Linked DNA regions of Arabidopsis thaliana. The protein of the gene in region 1 interacts with the protein of each later gene in a pairwise test. Each region holds a gene or a part of one and is shown on either strand. Other genes may lie near its edges.

The links.
Region 2: the proteins of CIPK13 (region 1) and PIN5 interact in a protein complementation assay, tested with the Arabidopsis thaliana proteins (one large-scale study listed by BioGRID).

What each region holds. Positions count from the first base shown.
Region 1 is NC_003071.7:14,427,808-14,438,111, reverse strand, and holds CIPK13 (CBL-interacting protein kinase 13), read left to right. Parts: upstream 1-5,629; 5' UTR 5,630-5,842; coding exon 5,843-7,351; downstream 7,352-10,304. Other genes in the region: AT2G34190 (Xanthine/uracil permease family protein), read right to left, coding at 24-83, 167-242, 316-416, 492-668, 778-875, 957-1,047; AT2G34186 (uncharacterized protein), read left to right, coding at 2,163-2,258; AT2G34185 (uncharacterized protein), read right to left, coding at 2,785-2,879, 2,965-3,076, 3,179-3,219, 3,557-3,710; AT2G34170 (hypothetical protein (DUF688)), read right to left, coding at 8,061-8,099, 8,190-8,960, 9,053-9,814. UniProt on the Arabidopsis thaliana protein: CIPK serine-threonine protein kinases interact with CBL proteins. Binding of a CBL protein to the regulatory NAF domain of CIPK protein lead to the activation of the kinase in a calcium-dependent manner.
Region 2 is NC_003076.8:5,394,842-5,405,145, forward strand, and holds PIN5 (Auxin efflux carrier family protein), read left to right. Parts: upstream 1-5,798; 5' UTR 5,799-5,893; coding exon 5,894-6,555; intron 6,556-7,063; coding exon 7,064-7,149; intron 7,150-7,242; coding exon 7,243-7,400; intron 7,401-7,554; coding exon 7,555-7,631; coding exon of another isoform or gene 7,632-7,635; exon of another isoform or gene 7,636-7,712; coding exon 7,713-7,785; 3' UTR 7,786-8,004; downstream 8,005-10,304. Other genes in the region: AT5G16520 (uncharacterized protein), read right to left, coding at 1-80, 270-420, 501-674, 767-856, 1,023-1,093, 1,219-1,919, 1,988-2,079, 2,165-2,530; ZFN3 (zinc finger nuclease 3), read left to right, coding at 8,596-8,653, 8,752-8,912, 9,037-9,099, 9,189-9,308, 9,385-9,852, 9,936-10,193. UniProt on the Arabidopsis thaliana protein: Auxin transporter regulating intracellular auxin homeostasis and metabolism. Mediates the auxin transport from the cytosol into the lumen of the endoplasmic reticulum. May also act as an auxin efflux carrier when located to the cell membrane.

The DNA of each region.
Region 1 (10,304 bases):
GATCAGTCCCATAGGAAAATAACCTGAGAGAAGATGACAAAGAGAATAAGCATGGGGAGTCCTATCTCAACACAATTACCCACCTGCAAACAACACGAACAGTATAAAATAAGAACCAAAAGGGATGATTGTTGGATGTTTAAAGAGAGGAATGACAGTAATGTACCACTGGGAATCCTCTGTTGAAGAGTCCAAAACCTGTTAATGCAATAACAGGAACCATACCAATAGGACTAAAGAATCTGAAAAAAAATTAAGATGAAAACTCGTTAAAATCTATAAACCTTTATATGAAATATGTATGTATATATATACCTTGAACAGATAGCCCACATTTGGCTGAAACCGAGGATAATTTGAACGCTGGATGCAACTATGATCGCGCCTTGTACCGCTCTCATTGTACTTAGAAATCTCTGTTTAATTTCAGATTCAAATTAGTATGGAGTTAGGATCTTGAGAATACTATTCAAAGAGAAGAACAAACATACCAATTGTGGATCTTCGATACGGGTCAAAGAAGAGTCATGGATGATTGAAATGATTGGAACCATGAATGCATATGAGCCTCCAATGACAGTTGGAAGACGAGTTCCAAATAATGTTTGAAGAAGAGTGTTAACACCTTGAAGGAACAGTAGTGTCTGAACAACTCTCACTTTATCACCCTACTCAATTGTTTTTGGGAGGAACATTAATCTCAGTCAGACAAGCAAAATTCACAACAGAGATTCGTTGGATTAAGAAACAGTGAAGAATGTAAGAAATAATGCTCACATCATCTCCACCCATCATAGGAACAAGAATTGAAGGTATCATCACTGCAGTTCCTAAAGCCAGAATGTAATGCTCGAAACCTAAAGCTATAGCTTCTCCTGCAATAAGATCATCATCAGGATTCCGGAAAGTGAAAAGTCAACCAATAAAGTACAGAGAATGGTTTCAAGGCTAAGTACCCCATGGAGGGTTTGAGTCAATACAGTACTCTAAACCCTGAAGCTGATCCATTGGTGGGTGACTTATCTCCTCTGGCTTTACAAGATCCATGATTCTAAAGTCTTCCTTTTTCTTTCTGGGTTAACACTCAACAACAAATCTTCTTCTTATGAGCTCATGAATCTGCTAAAGAATCAGGAAAACTAAAAGAATCTGATTGAATCAGAGGAATGACTGAGAAAACAAGAACAGAGTGGTTTTAAATAAGATAGAAAAGTTGTGTGAAAGAGAAATGAGGACAAGGCAAAGCGAAAAAGCTTCTCTTTTTCGAAGTTGCAGCTGAGTTAGAAGAAAGCTTTTTGGTAGTGGTGGAGATGGTGATGGCTAAGGAATTTTTATTGATTTATATATGAATGGGATAGTGAAAGGTTAGGAAAAAGGACCGTTAGAAGTTTTAGTTAGGTACCAGAAATGCCCCTTAAAGAACTGCCAAAAAACCGAATACTACCGTTACACTGTTTTGTTGGTAAATAATGCTTTTCTCAACTTTACACATCAGAGAGTCACAGATTCTTTAATGCATTAGTTACGTTTTCTGCAGTGCATGTCTTCTCTTCTTTCAAGCTTCTTGAATTTAGTTAGTCTTTAATTAAAGGGCACAGAAAAATAGAGGAAGGAATCGTATAGCAGCCAAGTCTTTGATTTGTATTTAGTGTTCCCAATTCTTATTCTTTTCAGTTTTCACGTCCATTATCCATTTTTATAATTGCAAAGGTGTTTTCTACCTAGTACATTCTCATACATTGGTTATACAAAAGTCAAGAAAAAAAAGTTAGTATAATATACTTGATGATCGATTATGAAGACTAGACCATAATGAAAGCAAACCTAAGTAAAAAGGTAAAAGAAAACGTTATGATTGTGTGAAAATGACGTGTTTTTGTAAAAGAAAAATGAATCAATAGCTTAACATCTCTTTTGCTTTACTTTCTTCATTTTTCACTTTGAACTTTTTATTTTATTAAAAAAATTATCTTGGGTTGAATAATAATGACATTGGCGCAAAAAAATAAAAGTAATAAATAACATGGAGCCAAGACATGGGTCCAAAACAGTGCAGATGTAAAAAGAGTAGCTAACTGGGACACCCACGTGCGACCCAAGATGGACCAAAATGGGGTCACATATTTGGATTTAAGACATAAACAATACAAAAAAAATTCACAATGCTTTTGTTAACAGACATACCTCTCTGGTCTCTTTCACCTGTTGACTGCTACAAGAACCAAAAACGGTGCCGTGTCATGGCTGTGGTCGATTGAGTAAAAAGGTTTTGATTTGCTCATGTCCTGCCTCTTTCATCTGTGATTCAAAATAACACATGCTTGTTATAAGATCCCACATTGGATGTAAAATGTCTAAATATCACAAAGTGACTAAACTATTACTAAATAACTCTCACATTCTAAAGGGGAAGGAATAGTAAATGGCTTCTAAGTTCACAAGCTGACTTTTAAAGGATTATATATGGATTAGAGAAATACTCGGCTATCTGTTCAGATATCTCCTAAAACAAATAGTGGATGCTATTATTAATTGGCACGGACTAGCAGCAGCTTTGAGATTGTCAACTGAACGACTAAATTGAGACTTACGCAGAAGCAATGACATCTGATTGAATAGCTGCATTAGACCATAACGAAGATAGAAAATCTTGAGTACTAGCTGGGAGATGATTTCTTCATGTACCTGAAGGCAAACACCACAAAAAGAAACAACTTAATTATGCAAAAATCCATCTCATAATCTCATTGTACACACTCAAAACTTAAACTGTGATAACCAACCTTATCCTACTTCGATTTCTTGTTTGCTATTGCATAGCAAGCCACAGTATATATTGGTATAGAGGAAAATCCCACCATTGATTAAACCTAGATATCCTGTAAAAATTGTCACATTCCCAAAATCTATCAAATTTTTCAAAAAAGGGTACATTCTTTTATCTAGGAAGTAACTAGTGCACACCTGGAATGGGCTTTGAATGGTGATAACAGTCCCAAGTTGAGCAACCAGCATAGAAAAAGTGGAGCTTGATGGTTTGTCCTGCATTCTTGCTCCCTCCTTTCCTTGTCATTCTCTGCAATTTATACACCAACAAAGATGAATTCCTCAACAACATGCAGAGCGATGTGCAGAAGCCACTTAGATTATACTCAAGAGGGTCTAAATACATGTTTACTGAATCAAGACCGAATCTGATCGAATTATCTTGGAACCTCACTTCATGCAACAAGAAATCTAGACTTCTATATAATAACTTCACATTTCACATCTGTCAATCTTTTTCAAACTAAAGGACCTTATCAATTTTCCCCTCTTCAATCACATGATCCTAGAAAAAACAGAAAATCCAAAGAACCACAACAATAGAGAAAATTGCAAAGACAAAGCAGTGAGGGAAAATGAAGGAACTAACAGTAAAACCCCTAGCTGGATAACTTAAGACAATTTCAATAGAATCCAATCTAGATCATAATGACCTCAAAACCCGAAAACAGCAATCTATAATCATTCTAGATTAGCGATTTTGAAACACGGAAAGCAAAAGAGGACTAACTTTGAGCTCCTCCCAGAAACTTCTCTCTCTCAGTACATTCCCCAGATGCCGAATCGCCGAACAGGTCTCGCTTATTCTCCGTCGCACTCGAAACTTCACCACCGGCGGTCCCAAAATTCGAAACCAGAAAGTGTCTCTCTGTCTTCGCCTCCATCTCTTTCGTCCAGTGCTAATTTAAATTTTCGACGATTTGATTAAAAATGTTTGTGAGCCCAAGCCCATTAGACTTGTGATTAGTCTTTTTGGCATTTTGTTTACAACATGTGGTGCATGCATGCATGCATGGTGAATGATTAATATGAACATGGTGCGTTATTAACTCAACAATAAGGAATCAAACTGTAATATTTTCTTGTTAGATATGCAATTTAGTGATAATTTATCCATGGTAAGTTAGGTGACCGGGTCAAAACCATTATTGGATCAACATCTTCCATCTTTTTTTTCTGATATCAGCTATCATCACACATTGTAAGAAATAATTCAACAACCCTTTTCTTTTTGTATAATGATGAGTTAGACAATGGCTTTTTATGCATATGTAAATGTAAACTCATCTGGTACTCAATTGTCAATTCATAATCATAGGTCATGTTCAATGTATTGAAATCTCTAATCAGACTCGGATACAGATCATTGTGTTTGTGTGCAGTGACTCTAACAACTTATTGACCTTTTCTCTTAAGGATGTCATTTTTGACCAACAATATAGGAACTTAACTCAATTCATCATTGTTAGGAAAGAGTTCTAATTACTCTTCACTCGTCACTTGTCTCTTCGTATCTATCTCTTCTTGGTTGTCTCTTAGAATTCATGAACTGTGTTGTGTGTATAAGTTAATCTTGTTTCTCATGAATGATAAGTATCTTTCTCCATAATCATTACACTACATATTCTGAATAGTTTCTTACATATTAATTTACTACCAAATTTTGTGTTTTTTATTTGCAACTATTACAAATTTTGAATCTTTCCTTTTAGATAATATTTTATTTATTAACGTAATACACCTTATCCAAACAAATGTACTATCTTAAAGTGGTCTTCACATCGATCTTTTATTCTTTCTTTTTTTTTGGTAAAATTTTTTTTTTTTTTTTTATATATGCATTAGATCTTTCTTCTTCTTTTTTGACAGCAGATGTTGTATTAGTTTATACATTTCTTAATACAATACTAACACAAATTATACGAAAGAGGATAAACCTCCGTCGTGCTTGCATATTTTAGCATAAGCTTTCCTGGAAATCTTTCTGAGGTAGTTATTTTTTTCTTGAGAGTTTTAAATTCGTAATTATGCATTAAAATGAATAAACTACTATCATCAATTGAGATTTTTTATCTGAAGAACAATTTATGACATGATATATTCTCCTAATTTAGTCTAAGTGTTGGTATATTAGCTGAATCTATTTGAATGCTATTGCTTGTACACAAACAAGCTGAATTTAATTGATTATATCCAATTTCAGAATAAAGTTCCGGATGATAAAGTTGCACTCAAGATTAGTCTCGTAATCCAAATTAAAATACAGAAAACGGATTTTGGAAGTATGAAACTATGAATATAATCTAATTGAAAACTTTTTATCAAAAAAATAAATAAGGAGAAAGTGAAACTTGGAGTCTTAAATTTGAAGCCACTGGTTTTGGTCTGCAACGTGAAGTCCACAATGTACAGTAAGCACCGACTCAGCAAAACACGTGGTGCCCACAAATACCACTCCATACAGTATCTTTTTAAAGACTATAATACTCACGTATCACATAAACCTATACATTTGCTAAATAAAATGTGTGATGACATCTTAACGAACCATGATCTGCTTATCTATCAGCCTCATTGATAAGTCAACCTTATTATCTGTCCTTTAAGAAAGCTTAAATGTATTCCAAAGTTGACATTGCGTATGGATAGAACATATAAGTTTGCCTTTTATAATTTGAAAATCCGTCCAACGTGTTATTCTGTTGGCAAAATATTTGGATTAGGATAAAACTTCAACATCAAATAGCAATATTTTAAAATCAAATGACTTTTCAGCTTCTCGAAACATAAGATAAAGTCAACTCGAAAACTGTTATAAAACGAACACGAAAAAGGCCAAGTTAAGACAACATCACAACCGAAACAACAACCCCACCATATCTTATTTTTGTCCGTTTCTTCATTTCATTTTCTTGTTTTGGTTCGTTTCCCGGTAAAACCGTGTCGGAATCAACAAACAACAGTTACATTTACACTTAGAGAGCAACCAGAACTAAATAAAAGTCTCAGCCTACGGATGGCTCAAGTACTATCTACACCGTTGGCCATCCCCGGCCCAACGCCAATACAATTCATGGCGGGTCTTCTTGCTCGAATCGTTACAAAAAATACGAACAAAGAGACCAGTACTCCAGAGAGCCCGAGGAGTCCGCGGACTCCACAAGGCTCTATTCTCATGGACAAGTACGAAATAGGAAAGCTTCTTGGCCACGGAAGCTTCGCTAAGGTCTATTTAGCACGGAACATTCATTCTGGCGAGGATGTTGCCATCAAAGTCATTGACAAGGAGAAGATAGTGAAGAGTGGATTGGCCGGTCATATTAAACGGGAGATTTCAATCCTCCGCCGTGTCCGCCACCCTTACATTGTACACCTACTCGAGGTTATGGCTACGAAGACAAAGATTTACATTGTGATGGAGTACGTTCGAGGCGGAGAGCTTTATAATACGGTGGCTAGAGGACGGCTTCGAGAAGGAACCGCGAGGAGATATTTCCAGCAGTTGATCTCATCCGTTGCTTTCTGCCACAGCCGCGGTGTTTACCACCGCGATCTCAAGCTTGAGAATCTGCTTTTGGACGACAAGGGGAACGTGAAAGTCTCTGACTTTGGGCTCAGCGTTGTCTCGGAGCAGCTCAAGCAAGAAGGAATCTGTCAAACGTTTTGCGGGACACCAGCTTATTTGGCGCCTGAGGTTTTGACAAGGAAAGGTTATGAAGGTGCAAAAGCCGATATTTGGTCTTGTGGAGTGATCTTGTTTGTATTGATGGCTGGTTATCTTCCATTTGATGACAAGAACATATTGGTTATGTATACAAAGATATATAAAGGGCAGTTTAAGTGTCCTAAATGGTTTTCTCCTGAGCTTGCAAGGCTTGTGACCCGGATGCTAGACACGAATCCAGATACCCGAATCACAATACCGGAGATCATGAAGCATAGATGGTTCAAGAAAGGGTTCAAACATGTCAAATTCTATATTGAAAACGATAAGTTATGTAGGGAGGATGATGACAATGATGATGACGATTCATCATCATTGTCATCAGGCCGATCATCGACTGCTTCAGAAGGAGATGCAGAGTTTGATATTAAAAGGGTTGATTCAATGCCGAGACCCGCGAGTCTAAACGCATTTGACATCTTATCGTTCTCAGATCTTTCGGGTTTGTTTGAAGAAGGTGGACAAGGAGCAAGGTTTGTATCTGCTGCTCCTATGACAAAGATCATATCGAAATTGGAAGAGATTGCCAAAGAGGTGAAATTTATGGTGAGGAAGAAGGATTGGAGCGTGAGGCTAGAAGGTTGTAGAGAAGGAGCTAAAGGACCGTTGACAATTAGAGTCGAGATCTTTGAGCTGACGCCATCTCTTGTGGTGGTTGAAGTGAAGAAGAAAGGAGGAAATATAGAAGAGTATGAAGAGTTTTGCAACAAGGAACTTAGACCACAGCTGGAGAAACTGATGCATTACCAAGCAGATGAAGTTGAAGAAGTAATGTGTTTGCCACCTGAAATTGAACAGTGACAAAGTTAAGAAAACAGGAAGGTCGAGAGAAGAAGACATAACAAGAGAAGGTATCATAGAAACGAATATTAACATTCTTTGTTACTATACTTAATTTGTTTTGTGTATATATATGAAAGTGAGAGTTGTAATGAGAGTGATTAGGAAGATCAGAGAAAAAAAGAAATTAAGAGTGAGATCTTAATAAGGCAGTTAGACGGTTTTTGCTGGCGATTAAATGGCTAGTTTTTCGTTTATTGCTAATATGTTGTACATGTATCTCTACAAAGAGACGAGCTTAATGGAATTTTTTTCTCGGCCTTCCCCTATAACACTGTCTTGTTCATCCTAAGCTAACACATATTTATGCTTCATCAGAGAGACTATATGATAAACTGAAATGTGTAAATGTTACCTGTAGACTTTGCTGCCTTGTAGTCCTGGTAACCTTCACCTGAATGGAAACAGTTAGCTTGAAAAAACTTCCAACAGTTAATTGGGTTTGAATTGGGTATAGATAGAAATATGAACATAGCATTTACTGGGAACAATTGTTCTTCTTATTAGTTAAGTAGGCAACACACAGATATGAAAGTATAACTACACATGTAAATCAATCTGAGGGATTACGTGTTAAGTGTTCTAAGGGTCACAAAAGAAACTGCGGTTTTCTTACGTCGATGAAATTGTAATTCAACGTGATGATCCATCCCAAGGGAGCTTCAAACCACTAAGTTTTTGATTGGCAAGATGAATGAGCAACGAGTTCCTGCAAAAGATATAGCGAAGATCAAAGAAGGGTTAGTATTATCGCCTCATTGTGTTTCTTTATCTCCCAGGGAAAACTTTACATGCTTACTTCAGAATAGCGTATATGATCTCTGTGCGTATAAGAAGTCTTGACTATAGTTTCCCACTTGGTAACACTTGTGGAGTTTTCTTCAACATTCTTTTTTTGGGGATGAAACAGGTATCTCGGTGAAGGGATCTTTGAGCTTACTGACGGCAGATTACTGAAAAGCCAAGACTCGGAAGGCTTTTTGGGTGGCGGCGGAGCAAGTGGAGATAGATCACAGCCACTGTTGTTCTTTCCCAACTCATCTGCCTTCATCATCTTGACTCCACTGCTAATACTAAGAGTTTCTACAGCCTTAAGCTCGCGAACGGCTTTCGGTTTCTTTCCCTCCATTTCAGGTTCCTCTGAAATTGTTTCTGGCAATTTCTTGACATTAGAGCTACGATTCTCATTGCTGGTCCTTGGAGAATTCTCTGAGTCAACATATAATGTCTTCTCCATGGCAGAGCTCGTTGAACAGTCTTGTTTTGTACTTTTTGGATAGAGTGATTCGTGAGACTTGCTTATGTTTCTGATATGCTTGTTCAACCTGTTAGCTCTCATAACCTCTGCTTCCTTACGAGTCCCAGGGAAACCCGCAGCGTGAAGAGGAGAACTGTTTCCTACACTGCGATACGGTGACATACAGCCATTTTGTCTGTAAGGAGATGATGGCCTACTTGCAGAACTCTTCGATTCATGTTGTTCAGAACCAAAGTTAAACTTCTTCCCAACACTTGGGTGTACTGGAGACTGAGCTATACTTCCCAACTTTTGCTTATAATCAAGAGCGAGCTGAAAACATTTTTGATTGATCTTCAGTGAGTTTCTGATCAGTCTATATTATACTAAAAAGGTGAAAAGGAAGGAGATGCTTGAGAAGGAACCTTTTTCACAGATTGGAACCGAGATTTGAGCTGAGCGACCTTGCTTGACTTCACTTGATCATGGCTTGGGGTTCTCAGAGAGTAAGGTTTCTCTTTAAGACCATTCACTGAGCTCAGCATACCGAGTGAGTTTTTAAAGCAGATTTGTGGAGACATCATACCACAGCCTCTCTTAGAAAGATACTCAGAAACTTCATCGTCATCTGAATCCTCCTCGCTTTCTTCGTCATCTATGTCCTGATAATAAGATGGAGTAAAACTAGACTCATACCTTGTAGGAGTTGCACGATTCTCTGCTGGTACTATATCTCTAATCTGTCTCATTGGTTCTGACATGAGGGGCAATGGCTGTCGCTTCCAAGAATATTGAGGTGGTTGCTCCAGAGTCAAGGATTTCGCAGCAGGTAAGAAACGATCCAACATGAATTGAGGATCCTCAGATGGCATTGACGGTTTCATTGCCTCAACACCACCACCACCACTTATGCTTTGCTTTAGAGACAATGTATCAAGGGCATCAGAGAAAACATCATCATCTTCACTCTCTTCTGCTTCTTCTTCTACATGTTTACTCTCCAAGGGAGAATCCGGAACCTGATCTAAACCCATGTCTTGGACAAGAACTGAAACAGAAAGAGATTCACTTGTCTTGGACTCATCAGTGAGCTGCTTTGGCATGTTTCTGCGTACAGAGATTGCAGATTTTTTCATCCTCCTTGTTGAAAGAAGAGGTGCATCGAAGTTAAGTTGTTTCTCCGCCATAGAACCAACCAAAGCCGTTAGAGAAGATCAGAGATGGACTGACACCAACTTATTTTTCTCTGCCAAACTTAATGATGTTACACAGTTCTCCAAAACAGATCTGGAAAACCAAAACATAAATAAATAAGTCGGAGCTACCTAGATTCCATAGTAGTTGACTAATTTAAGTAATTAATTATACATACTGACACACATGAACCCAACGACAAATCTGAAGAAGATGGAAAACGTACAAAAACGTTAAGAACTTTACAAGAAACTTTCATTTAATTCAAATATATAGTTGCGCCGCTAAACTTTCAAACCCGTGATTCAAATCATTGGAAAAGGATTTATGGGGAGTAATGGAAAGAGATCATTGAAGCAATGTAGAAACTAAGTGGAGCATTGCATGATTGAATTGTGAAATCTACTAACCGGAGAGATGTGGAGGGAGGAGCTTCGGAGTTGTGTAAGTTCGTTATCTGCACCGAGAGAGAGTGTGATGAGT
Region 2 (10,304 bases), on another chromosome or scaffold:
ATTGTAGTCGTAAAGAAGTTGAAATTTATTCTTGATATCCATTGCGTCCACTTCTGAACCAGAAGATCCATCAATGAACTCTGCAATAGTGACAGTAGTGGTTGGAGGTTTCAGGTTTGAGATCATATTACTATTATAAACCAATTAAGCTCAATTGAGATACATCTATTCTTCACTTCTACTTCTAAAACCTAAACCATATGACATAGCTACTGCTACCGAATCATAAATCACTAGGTACAATGTGGATGTTAAGTTATAAGCCATACCCATTGGAGGAGGTGGAGGGATTGAAACGTCTTCACTATGAGAAATTGGATGAGTTATACTCTTTTTATTTGAGAAATTATCTCCATGAGCCAGAGAAGAAGCCGAATCAAAAGAGCTCAGTTCTAAACTTGCAGGTTGTGAAATCACATTCTGGATAAAAAGAGAAAATTAACAACTCAAAAGGGTCAAAAAAAAGGAAAGGGGAACCCAAAAACAGATAGTTAGCTCACCTTCTCAATACCTAAGTTAGGCTTCTTGTTCGCCATGATCGATTCCCCGTGTTCCGAGCTATTAGAAGATGTTGGAGGTCTCGTTAAACCACACATTCCTGATACCTTTGTCGTTTTGATGGCATCATCGACCAATATGCTGCAATCCCATGTGTATGCAACATATCTTCTCAGCTAAATGAGGATTATTGAAAGAGCAACTTGTAATAAGAAAAGAAGCCATTGCAAGAAGAAAAACCAAAAAAGAGAAAGGGGAAAACAATTACTTTATCCCAGTGATCTAGAGCTTTACGACGATTCCTTATCTTCCTGAAAACAGTATCTTCATTTCGCAGCTTCTTGATCCTGTACTCACACTATTCAAAGAGCCAATTTACCGCCATCAGGATATGCTTAGGAAGGACTAGAAAACTTTCAAACACTATAGTACACACCCGCTAATAATGCTTAATGCTCTTTCTTATATTCATAGATCATGAATACCAATAAACATTAAGTAAAGGAGATGAAAAGGTTTCAAACCTGCACTAGTAGGTAGAAAAATATGCCAATACTGATGCAATACAAACCACCAAGATCGGCAAGGAAGCTAACTGTTAAACAGCAACCAGAAAAGGAAAAAGAAACTTAAGTTAGAACTGAAGCTACTCTAGTATTCTCTACTTGCACATACTGGAATGATTCACAAGAAGTGATTGGACAAAGTAAATTTACTTACCAGGACCGAGTATATTTTCATGGTCTATCTCAACAATATAAGCAGAGAGATAGTTGATGAACAATGTCGTATTGAGTATGCCATCTGTTGACCTTCCCATAGATGCCTGAAGCTGAGTAGTGTCTCGGTAAACAGAGCCAGGGATAAACTCGTGAAAGAGAGGTTGGATTAGCTTTAGATCATGCAAATGATGGTAAATCCGAGGAAACAGATTAAACTTCAATATATTCCCTTCGGTTCCACGGAAAGTAACCGGACTTTCATCGAGAATGCTTCCGTTTCTCAGAGTGCCACTAACAAAACTCATATGCTTCTCGTTAGGTCCATTCTTAGACGTAAAGTTAAACTGAAATCCAACAGCAGCAGCAGGCGAATCAGGAAGATCAACGAAATGCCACGAGATATATATGTAATCGTTGGTGAGACGACATTTGGTACATTTGAAATTCACTGTTGGTCCTGAAGTTGTATTCTTACAAGTATAGCTTCCTAAACTAGAAAGAGCAGCAACTTTGAACTCGCTAAACCCGGGATTACCCATGACCACGTTCCCAATACCGCGTAAATTAGAGCAACTCATATCCGAAACAGCGGTGATGTTAAACTCCAAATCGTTCTCGAATGAGATCAAATCTGGAGAACCAGTAGCTCTCACATTGTGAACTTCAATTGTTCTCTTGGTTATGATTTGATAAAGCAGCCTGTGAAGAAACTGACTAAGTTAACAAAAACCAAAGGAAGCACTAAATTCTGAAGTTATCAAACTCACGCAGCGAATAAACCAATGAAAACAATCCAGCTCGCAACAGAAAATGTTCCACCAAGTTCTGTTTTACGTTTCTTGACAATTTGTTGATCATCCTACAAGATTCAGGAACCTAATTGGTTTACTCAAAAGAAACCAATTCATGGAGACAAAAGCAATGAGAGTAGAGAAAGCACTAACGAGCCAATGTCTAGTGGAGAAGAAGACGTCAAGTCGAGTAATCCACCAACGGAGATTAAACCAGACATTACGACCATCGCCGAGTTTGGTGAATCTCAGGAAGAAACAAAAGACTAACCAGGAGAGAAGCATCACGAGCGTAGCTTCTAAGAAAATAGCTTGAGATTGCGTGAACTTACGGATCCTATCGAAAGCGAATAAAGTCTCGGCGAATGATATTACGCTGTAGTTTACATCTTTGTCTGTGGAGATTGTTGACGGCCAACCGAAGATCTCGCAGCTCCCGGAGCTCCGGTTTAGTAGCTGACCGATACCGCACGCGCAGCGCGTGGCGTTGTATGTTATGGAGTTTCTAGGGCACGCCATCACACACAGAGAGAGCTTCGAAATGAAGAAACGAAGACGAAGAAGTCGAAGAGAGAGAGAGAGAGAGAGAGAGAGAGAGAGAGAGAGAGAGAGAGAGAGAGACGGAGAAAGGAGAAGAACAAAAGGGGCAAGAAAGGAATTTCATCTTTTAATTATTTTATTATTATTTGGACCAGCTTTAAAGAACCAGACCACGAAGCAGAACCAGCCTGTTAAGCAAGTGACTTCGTCGTGGTCAAGAACCAGCAAAATTTAAAAACCGGGTGGTTCATGTTATCCGGTTCGGTTTATATATCAAATTTTCCCGCCGGACCAAACAAACCTGCAGAGAGATTTTCCTGATTCAAAAGTCGTTTCTAGCTTTGCCTTTGTACTTTTTTTTTTTTTGTAATCATTAGTTCATTACATAATCTATGAAGTGTTCACATATTCTTGGAAATTTGATAACTATAATCACCGATCTTGATCTCTTTAGCTATTATTATGGTGTACCCTTCAAGTTCTAAAGTATAAGAACTATACTAGAATTAATGAATAAGTAACACTTTGCATGTAACTTAAGACTTGTGTTCACATCAAAGAGTGTTGTTGATGCGGCTAATACGTTTGAGGACTTTATGCTAAAAGTAAATCATTCTCCATTCTCCATGGTTGAAAACTTGTTCTTGCGTCTTCTCTTCTCTGGAAAAACGAATGTTTCCAGAATAAAAACACGAGATGTGAAGCAGAAGAGTACAACAAGTAGGTGCTGTAGCATATATTGAGTGACGAAGCAATGAAGGAACAGATTATTGTGAGCCACAAAATAAATTAAGAAATAATACAGTAGTGAAGTCGTTTCAAACAGAGGATTTATTCCACCTGCACTTGGAGGAGTTTCCTCTTTTCATAAGTCTAAAGAACAAATTTGCCTTTAAGAATAATTCTTCTGTGTTTTTTTTTAATATGGAATTTGAATGAAAGATTAGTGTGTGGATATGGATAATTAATTATATTTAAAAAATTATGTAATATTGATATGTTTGTAGTTTGGTTTCCCTTTCTATTGGCTGCTATTTACTTCATTCTTTCAATGATTGACGTTGAACTTCTTTTCGACCAAAATCAAAACATCCTCTCCTTTATGTATAACTTTGTTTCTTCTGATTTGATTTGTAACATTAACATGATTACATTTATATATAGTATATAATACGTAACCATGCATTTAACTTGGTACTTGGATTCGTTTATGAAAGATTGAAAGGAAAACGAAAGTTATATGATCACTACTCTTGAATTCGAACTCTAATTTAGGAAGAACAGTATAAACCCCAACATATAGTGTTTTCTGGTCTGAAAAACTTTGATTGTTTTGTTTTTGTGGTTTGGGAAAAAACATCAACATAATATTCATGACGTCAAAAGTACAAAACAAATAAGATGGATTTTGAATAAACTTTCCAATCGTGCTAGCTAGCTATTTCTGACATAATTCAAGAAGAATAATGAAAATATGTCACACAAAAACAAAAGTATTAACGATGAATGAATGAATGAGAGAAGACAAAAACCTTTTTGATATTAAAAAGACTGTAATATATATCAACACATCAGGAGAGAAATTTGAAAGCATATTATAGATTTGTAATCATCAAGTGATAAATAGAACTTATTCTACTAGCATTATTATTCATATTTATATATGATCCCTCAATTTCACCAGTGAATAAGCATCCTCCACGTTTTCACAGATTTCTAATCCACCGATTTTAACTTTTGTTCCATCAGTCAAATCCCCCTTTTTGTTTTTGTTTTAGTCCGACTATATATATTTGTTTGCTTATGTTTTTCTATTTGTTCCAAATCTTTGGTAAAGATAGGTGTTTCCATAAAATGTTATTATCAAATCAAATGATAAATAAATGCTTTCCAGATCATTTTATGCCTCTGCATGATTCTCTAGTAATTAGATCAAATCAATTTTCTCATCATGAATATGTGTAATAGAAAAGACTTTGTGAATGGACAATATATATGGTTACAAAACAAAAATATACCATAGAATTAAAAAGTGCTAATATGATGATATTGCACCTAGCAATATGTGTTGTTGTGATTATATTAGAGTCCAGAAGGCAAATAATAAATTTGTTGTCTAGCAAGAAAGGACAAGAGCACGAGGTACAAATTTTTCTGTAAACTTTTGTAGTTCTTGAATGGCTTCCTCAATCCTCACGATGATAGATTTTTCGCTAGCTCGTAGTATAATATGGTTCTTTGATATTTTAACAAAGAAGAAAGACATGGCCATATGATTTTTTATCGAACGAAACATAAAAAACAACGTAAAACATGGTTTAAGATAAAAGTAAGTAAGTTATTTGTAGACTTCTCTATCTATCTATATATTAACATATTCTAAAACCCATGACATGTTATTTCTTAAACCATGAATATATTGAAACATTCAAATCATCACTAGGTATAAGTAAGTGAAATTCATTTTCTTATAAGAAATCTCTCTTTGTCGGTTATGAAATTGGTTGCTATCGCCAGGTCGTAGGGCACAAATACCCATTTCGGCATATATACAAACTATTCCATGCACTTTACTTATATTACATGCACTAGCATAGTTCTGCTCCCATTTTATGAAAGTGGTTAATAAATATAAATATTAAGATTAAGAAAAAAACGATTAAGCAAATATTTCGAATAAATTATTGAAAATATATTATTTGGTTAGTCTCATGTGTTGTGGCGACGAGTTACGACAGCCAAAAACATATATTGGTCGAGACGATCTTCTAGTTATGGTGCTAAAGCTGCAACCTCATTCTTTATTCTGCGACATTACCATTAATTAATATAGTCAAATATTGAAAGAAATGTTTACGTCATACACAAACACTACACTCACTATTTACAGGAAACAATTGGAATAGAATCATATGCCACGGCACGGTCTGGTCAATTATATTGATAACGATAACTCTCTTGTTTCTCAATTAAACTAATGGCTAAAAATATGAGGTTGATTTTAATTTTTTTATCTAAATATTTAGACTCAAATTTCAATTGTATCTATTCTATAGGAATTTAGCCAAATTATTTATAAATATTCGTAATCATATTCCGAAGAAAAAAATATTATTGTTTAATTTATATCTAAACTTTACTTTTGTTTGAATATTACTCATGGATATCTCATTACCTATCTTTTTTCTACAACAAATAAAACAATTAAAAATTTATCTATAAATATGAACATGTTGGTTTCTCTATCGTAACACATTTACTATCTACGAACGAATTTAGAAGCTTTGTTTTCTTTCCTTTCGTTTGCTACTACTGCAACATTTCTATTTTTCTGATAAAACCATGATAAATTGTGGAGATGTTTACAAGGTAATCGAAGCAATGGTTCCACTCTATGTAGCCTTAATCTTAGGCTATGGCTCTGTGAAATGGTGGCACATCTTCACGCGTGATCAATGTGATGCTATAAACCGTCTCGTTTGCTATTTCACCCTGCCGCTCTTCACCATTGAGTTCACGGCCCATGTCGACCCGTTCAACATGAATTACCGGTTCATCGCGGCCGATGTCCTCTCTAAGGTCATCATAGTCACGGTCTTAGCGTTGTGGGCCAAATATAGCAACAAAGGAAGCTATTGTTGGTCCATTACTAGTTTCTCTCTATGCACTCTTACTAACTCTCTTGTCGTTGGTGTGCCATTGGCTAAGGCAATGTACGGACAACAGGCTGTTGATCTGGTGGTTCAATCCTCGGTATTTCAAGCCATCGTGTGGCTCACACTCTTGTTGTTTGTCTTAGAGTTTAGAAAAGCCGGATTTAGTAGTAATAATATCAGCGACGTACAAGTAGACAACATCAATATCGAAAGTGGAAAAAGAGAAACTGTGGTTGTGGGAGAGAAGTCGTTCCTTGAGGTCATGTCCCTCGTTTGGTTGAAGCTTGCAACGAATCCAAATTGCTATTCTTGCATCCTTGGGATCGCATGGGCTTTTATTTCTAACAGGTAAAAATGAATCTTTAATTAAACTTTATATTGGTACCTATAAGATGTTTAACAAAGTGTTAATTAGTATGTGTGATCAGGGACTCAGGAGACTACATTAATTCCACCCCTTACTCCGAGGCAACCGTTAAAATTGCCTAAAAATATCTATAGTTTGACGTTTAAACCATCTAAATTATTACTTTTCTGTGTAGCGCCTGATGATCTATAGTTAAAATTTTGACAGAAATATAGGTCACGATTGTTTCTTTGCATTTGCGTTTATATTTCCATGTGACAAATGACTAGGACATTTTTAACATGGTAACATAATTTGCAAACGTGACATGTACATGCAAATAAACTAATCATGATTTTAATCTGAATATTAGAGTCTTTGACCAAATTTCTATTTTATTTGTTTTAGTGTGAATTTTGGGTTTAGGGTTTTGATTAGTGTTTTGTATACTCTTGGCTAACAAATAAAGACTTAAGTCTAATAATTGATGGAAATTAATTGGAAATATAGATGGCATCTGGAGCTGCCGGGCATATTAGAGGGTTCGATTCTTATAATGTCAAAAGCAGGAACAGGAACGGCCATGTTCAATATGGGTACGTTTATTTATGTCCATGCAAGTATCTTTCTATACGTAAAGATTACGTATCAGTATTGAGATAACAGTGAATACATGCATATATACGCAGGAATATTCATGGCACTTCAAGAAAAGTTGATAGTATGTGGAACAAGCTTGACTGTGATGGGAATGGTATTGAAGTTTATTGCCGGACCGGCGGCCATGGCCATCGGCTCTATTGTCCTTGGCCTCCACGGTGATGTCCTCCGCGTAGCCATCATTCAGGTCATAAATTCTACTTTATCCTTTTGTACCCTAATTCTACTGAAGTTTGTATATAAAAAAAAAAGTAGATCATTTTCCATTCATTCATCCACTAAGATACTAACTTTATATTTTTCAGTTTAATATATCATTAATATTTATATGAAATTTACAGGCTGCTTTGCCACAATCGATTACTTCGTTCATTTTTGCTAAGGAATATGGATTACATGCAGATGTTCTAAGCACAGCGTAAGTCCAAATTTTAAAAATTCAGTCTATTTAAGAAGAAAATGGTAATATGAAATTAAATTAAAATTTTGATAAATGTAGGGTGATATTTGGGATGTTGGTCTCTCTACCTGTGCTCGTCGCCTACTACGCAGCTCTGGAGTTTATTCATTGATTAAACTAATAAATTCGATTATATCATCAATATTACCCTTTGTTCATCTTTCACAAGTTTTTTTTTTTGTTATCTCTTTTACACTTTCCTCCTAAAGGAGATTTTGAAGTATATTCGAGATATGAAAACCATTAACTGAATGAATTAACCTAGTTTATGCTTAATTTTATACTTTCTTAAGCTCTCTTTATTTTCGTAGTATGCATAATTTAGTATTTTGTTCACATATACGTATCAAGAAAAGATAAAAACTCTATAAATGAAAATACATCATGTTCGGATCTAAAATTGTTTTAATACGTACACTAAATATTATAAGCCCTTTTTTTGTTAACAAAAAAAAAAAAAGAATAAATGAAACGAAATTCAGGTTAGAGATCAAATAAAATCTTGTTATTATTTGATTCATGATCATACATACTAACCAAATCAGGATTTATGAAATAAATTATTCTTTCTCCTCAACCGAATCAATATGAAGATAAAAGGGGTAATTTAGTCTTTTCGAATTCGTTTTTCTTACCGAATCTCTTTAGTTTTTTTTCTTTCTTTTGTGTGGAGGAGAGAAGAGAACGCAACACTTTCTTCCCAATCTCTCTCTGCTTTCTCTCTCTAGACGTGATCTCTAATTCTCTAATGTCTTCCTGCATTGCCATTTCCTCTAACCCCTCCACAATCGGAGGAAGACGATTCCTGGGAGCAAGAGAAACGATGGGACTTCCCATCGGAAAATCTCTTAGAGTGAGAGAATTATGGTGTGTTCTTAATGCTTAATAATCACCGACACAGCCATTGTTCTTCATCATCTCCATGGATTTTGATTCCATTTCTCGGGAAAGCACTTTTCTTTCCCCATTGCTTAACCAAAGTACCATCCTTTATTCCCTCTCTGATGTTCTGATTCAATCTTAAAAACCTCAGCTTGAATTTTTGTTGTGGGGTTTTGGTTGGGTTTGTGAATTTTAGATGCAATGTGGCAAATGAACTTGGGATCAGATGATACAATGGGTGTTGATGGGTCTTATCCGGAACGTCACGGAGAGCCAGATTGTGCTTATTATATAAGGACTGGACTTTGTAGGTTTGGTTCAACTTGCCGATTCAATCATCCTCACGACCGGAAACTGGTACTGACTCTGTTTCTGTGTTTGTTCTTTCCTCTGTATCTTGTTGACTCAAAGTTTGTAGCTTTGAGGGTCTGTGTGTGTGTGTGATTACAAGCTGATGAATAGTCTCGTATCCAATTTCTAGGTTATAGCAACTGCAAGGATTAAAGGAGAATACCCTGAAAGAATTGGTCAGCCTGAATGTGAGGTAGCTCTGTTTCGAATTACTATCATAGTAATGTCTTCTAGTTATCACATTGTCTCAAAGCTTCTATTTTTGTTGTTGTGTCTGTGCAGTTTTATCTGAAGACAGGGACCTGCAAATTCGGAGTGACTTGCAAGTTTCATCATCCTAGGAACAAAGCTGGTATTGATGGAAGTGTATCAGTTAATGTCTTAAGCTATCCTCTACGTCCGGTATGTATACATTTCAACTTTCTAATCTCACCACTGCTTTGTAAAATTTTGCCTCTCTCATGAGTTCTGTTTGCAGAACGAAGATGATTGCTCTTACTTTTTGAGAATTGGACAATGTAAATTTGGGGGAACTTGTAAATTCAATCACCCTCAGACTCAATCAACCAACTTGATGGTTTCTGTTCGTGGCTCTCCGGTTTACTCTGCTCTTCAATCTCTAACTGGTCAACCGTCTTATTCTTGGTCGAGAACATCTTTTGTTGCAAACCCTCCTCGTTTGCAAGATCCTTCTGGTTTCGCTTCAGGATCTCAAGGAGGTCTCTTCTCATCCGGGTTTCATTCGGGAAATTCTGTTCCGCTCGGGTTCTATGCATTACCTAGAGAGAATGTATTCCCGGAAAGACCAGGCCAACCTGAATGCCAATTCTACATGAAGACAGGAGATTGCAAATTTGGAACAGTCTGCAAATTTCATCATCCTAGAGACAGGCAAACCCCTCCTCCTGATTGTGTCTTAAGCTCGGTTGGCCTTCCTTTACGCCCGGTAAGCTAATAAAAGACTTCAGATTCTTTCCTTTATAGTCTCATTATGTGGTTTGGTAAATTCTTGTTGCTGGTTTGAAACAGGGAGAACCACTGTGCGTGTTCTATTCTCGGTATGGGATCTGCAAGTTTGGTCCAAGCTGTAAATTTGATCACCCGATGCGAGTCTTCACTTACAACAACAATACTGCATCTCCTTCTCCTTCATCATCTCTGCATCAAGAGACTGCAATCACCACAGAGCTCAGGAATCTCCTAGTCTCTTCTTCTGTGGAAGCAAAACCCACATCACTCCCTGAAACAACCTCTGCTAAAGACACCATTGTTGATGCACAGCACTGAAAACCCTGTGTTTTGTCTATCTTGAAACAATATGTAACATTTGTTTTGCTTTATCTTGTAAGCATTTATGTACAGAGATGATATCTGATCTAATCTGATTCGCCTTTTGTT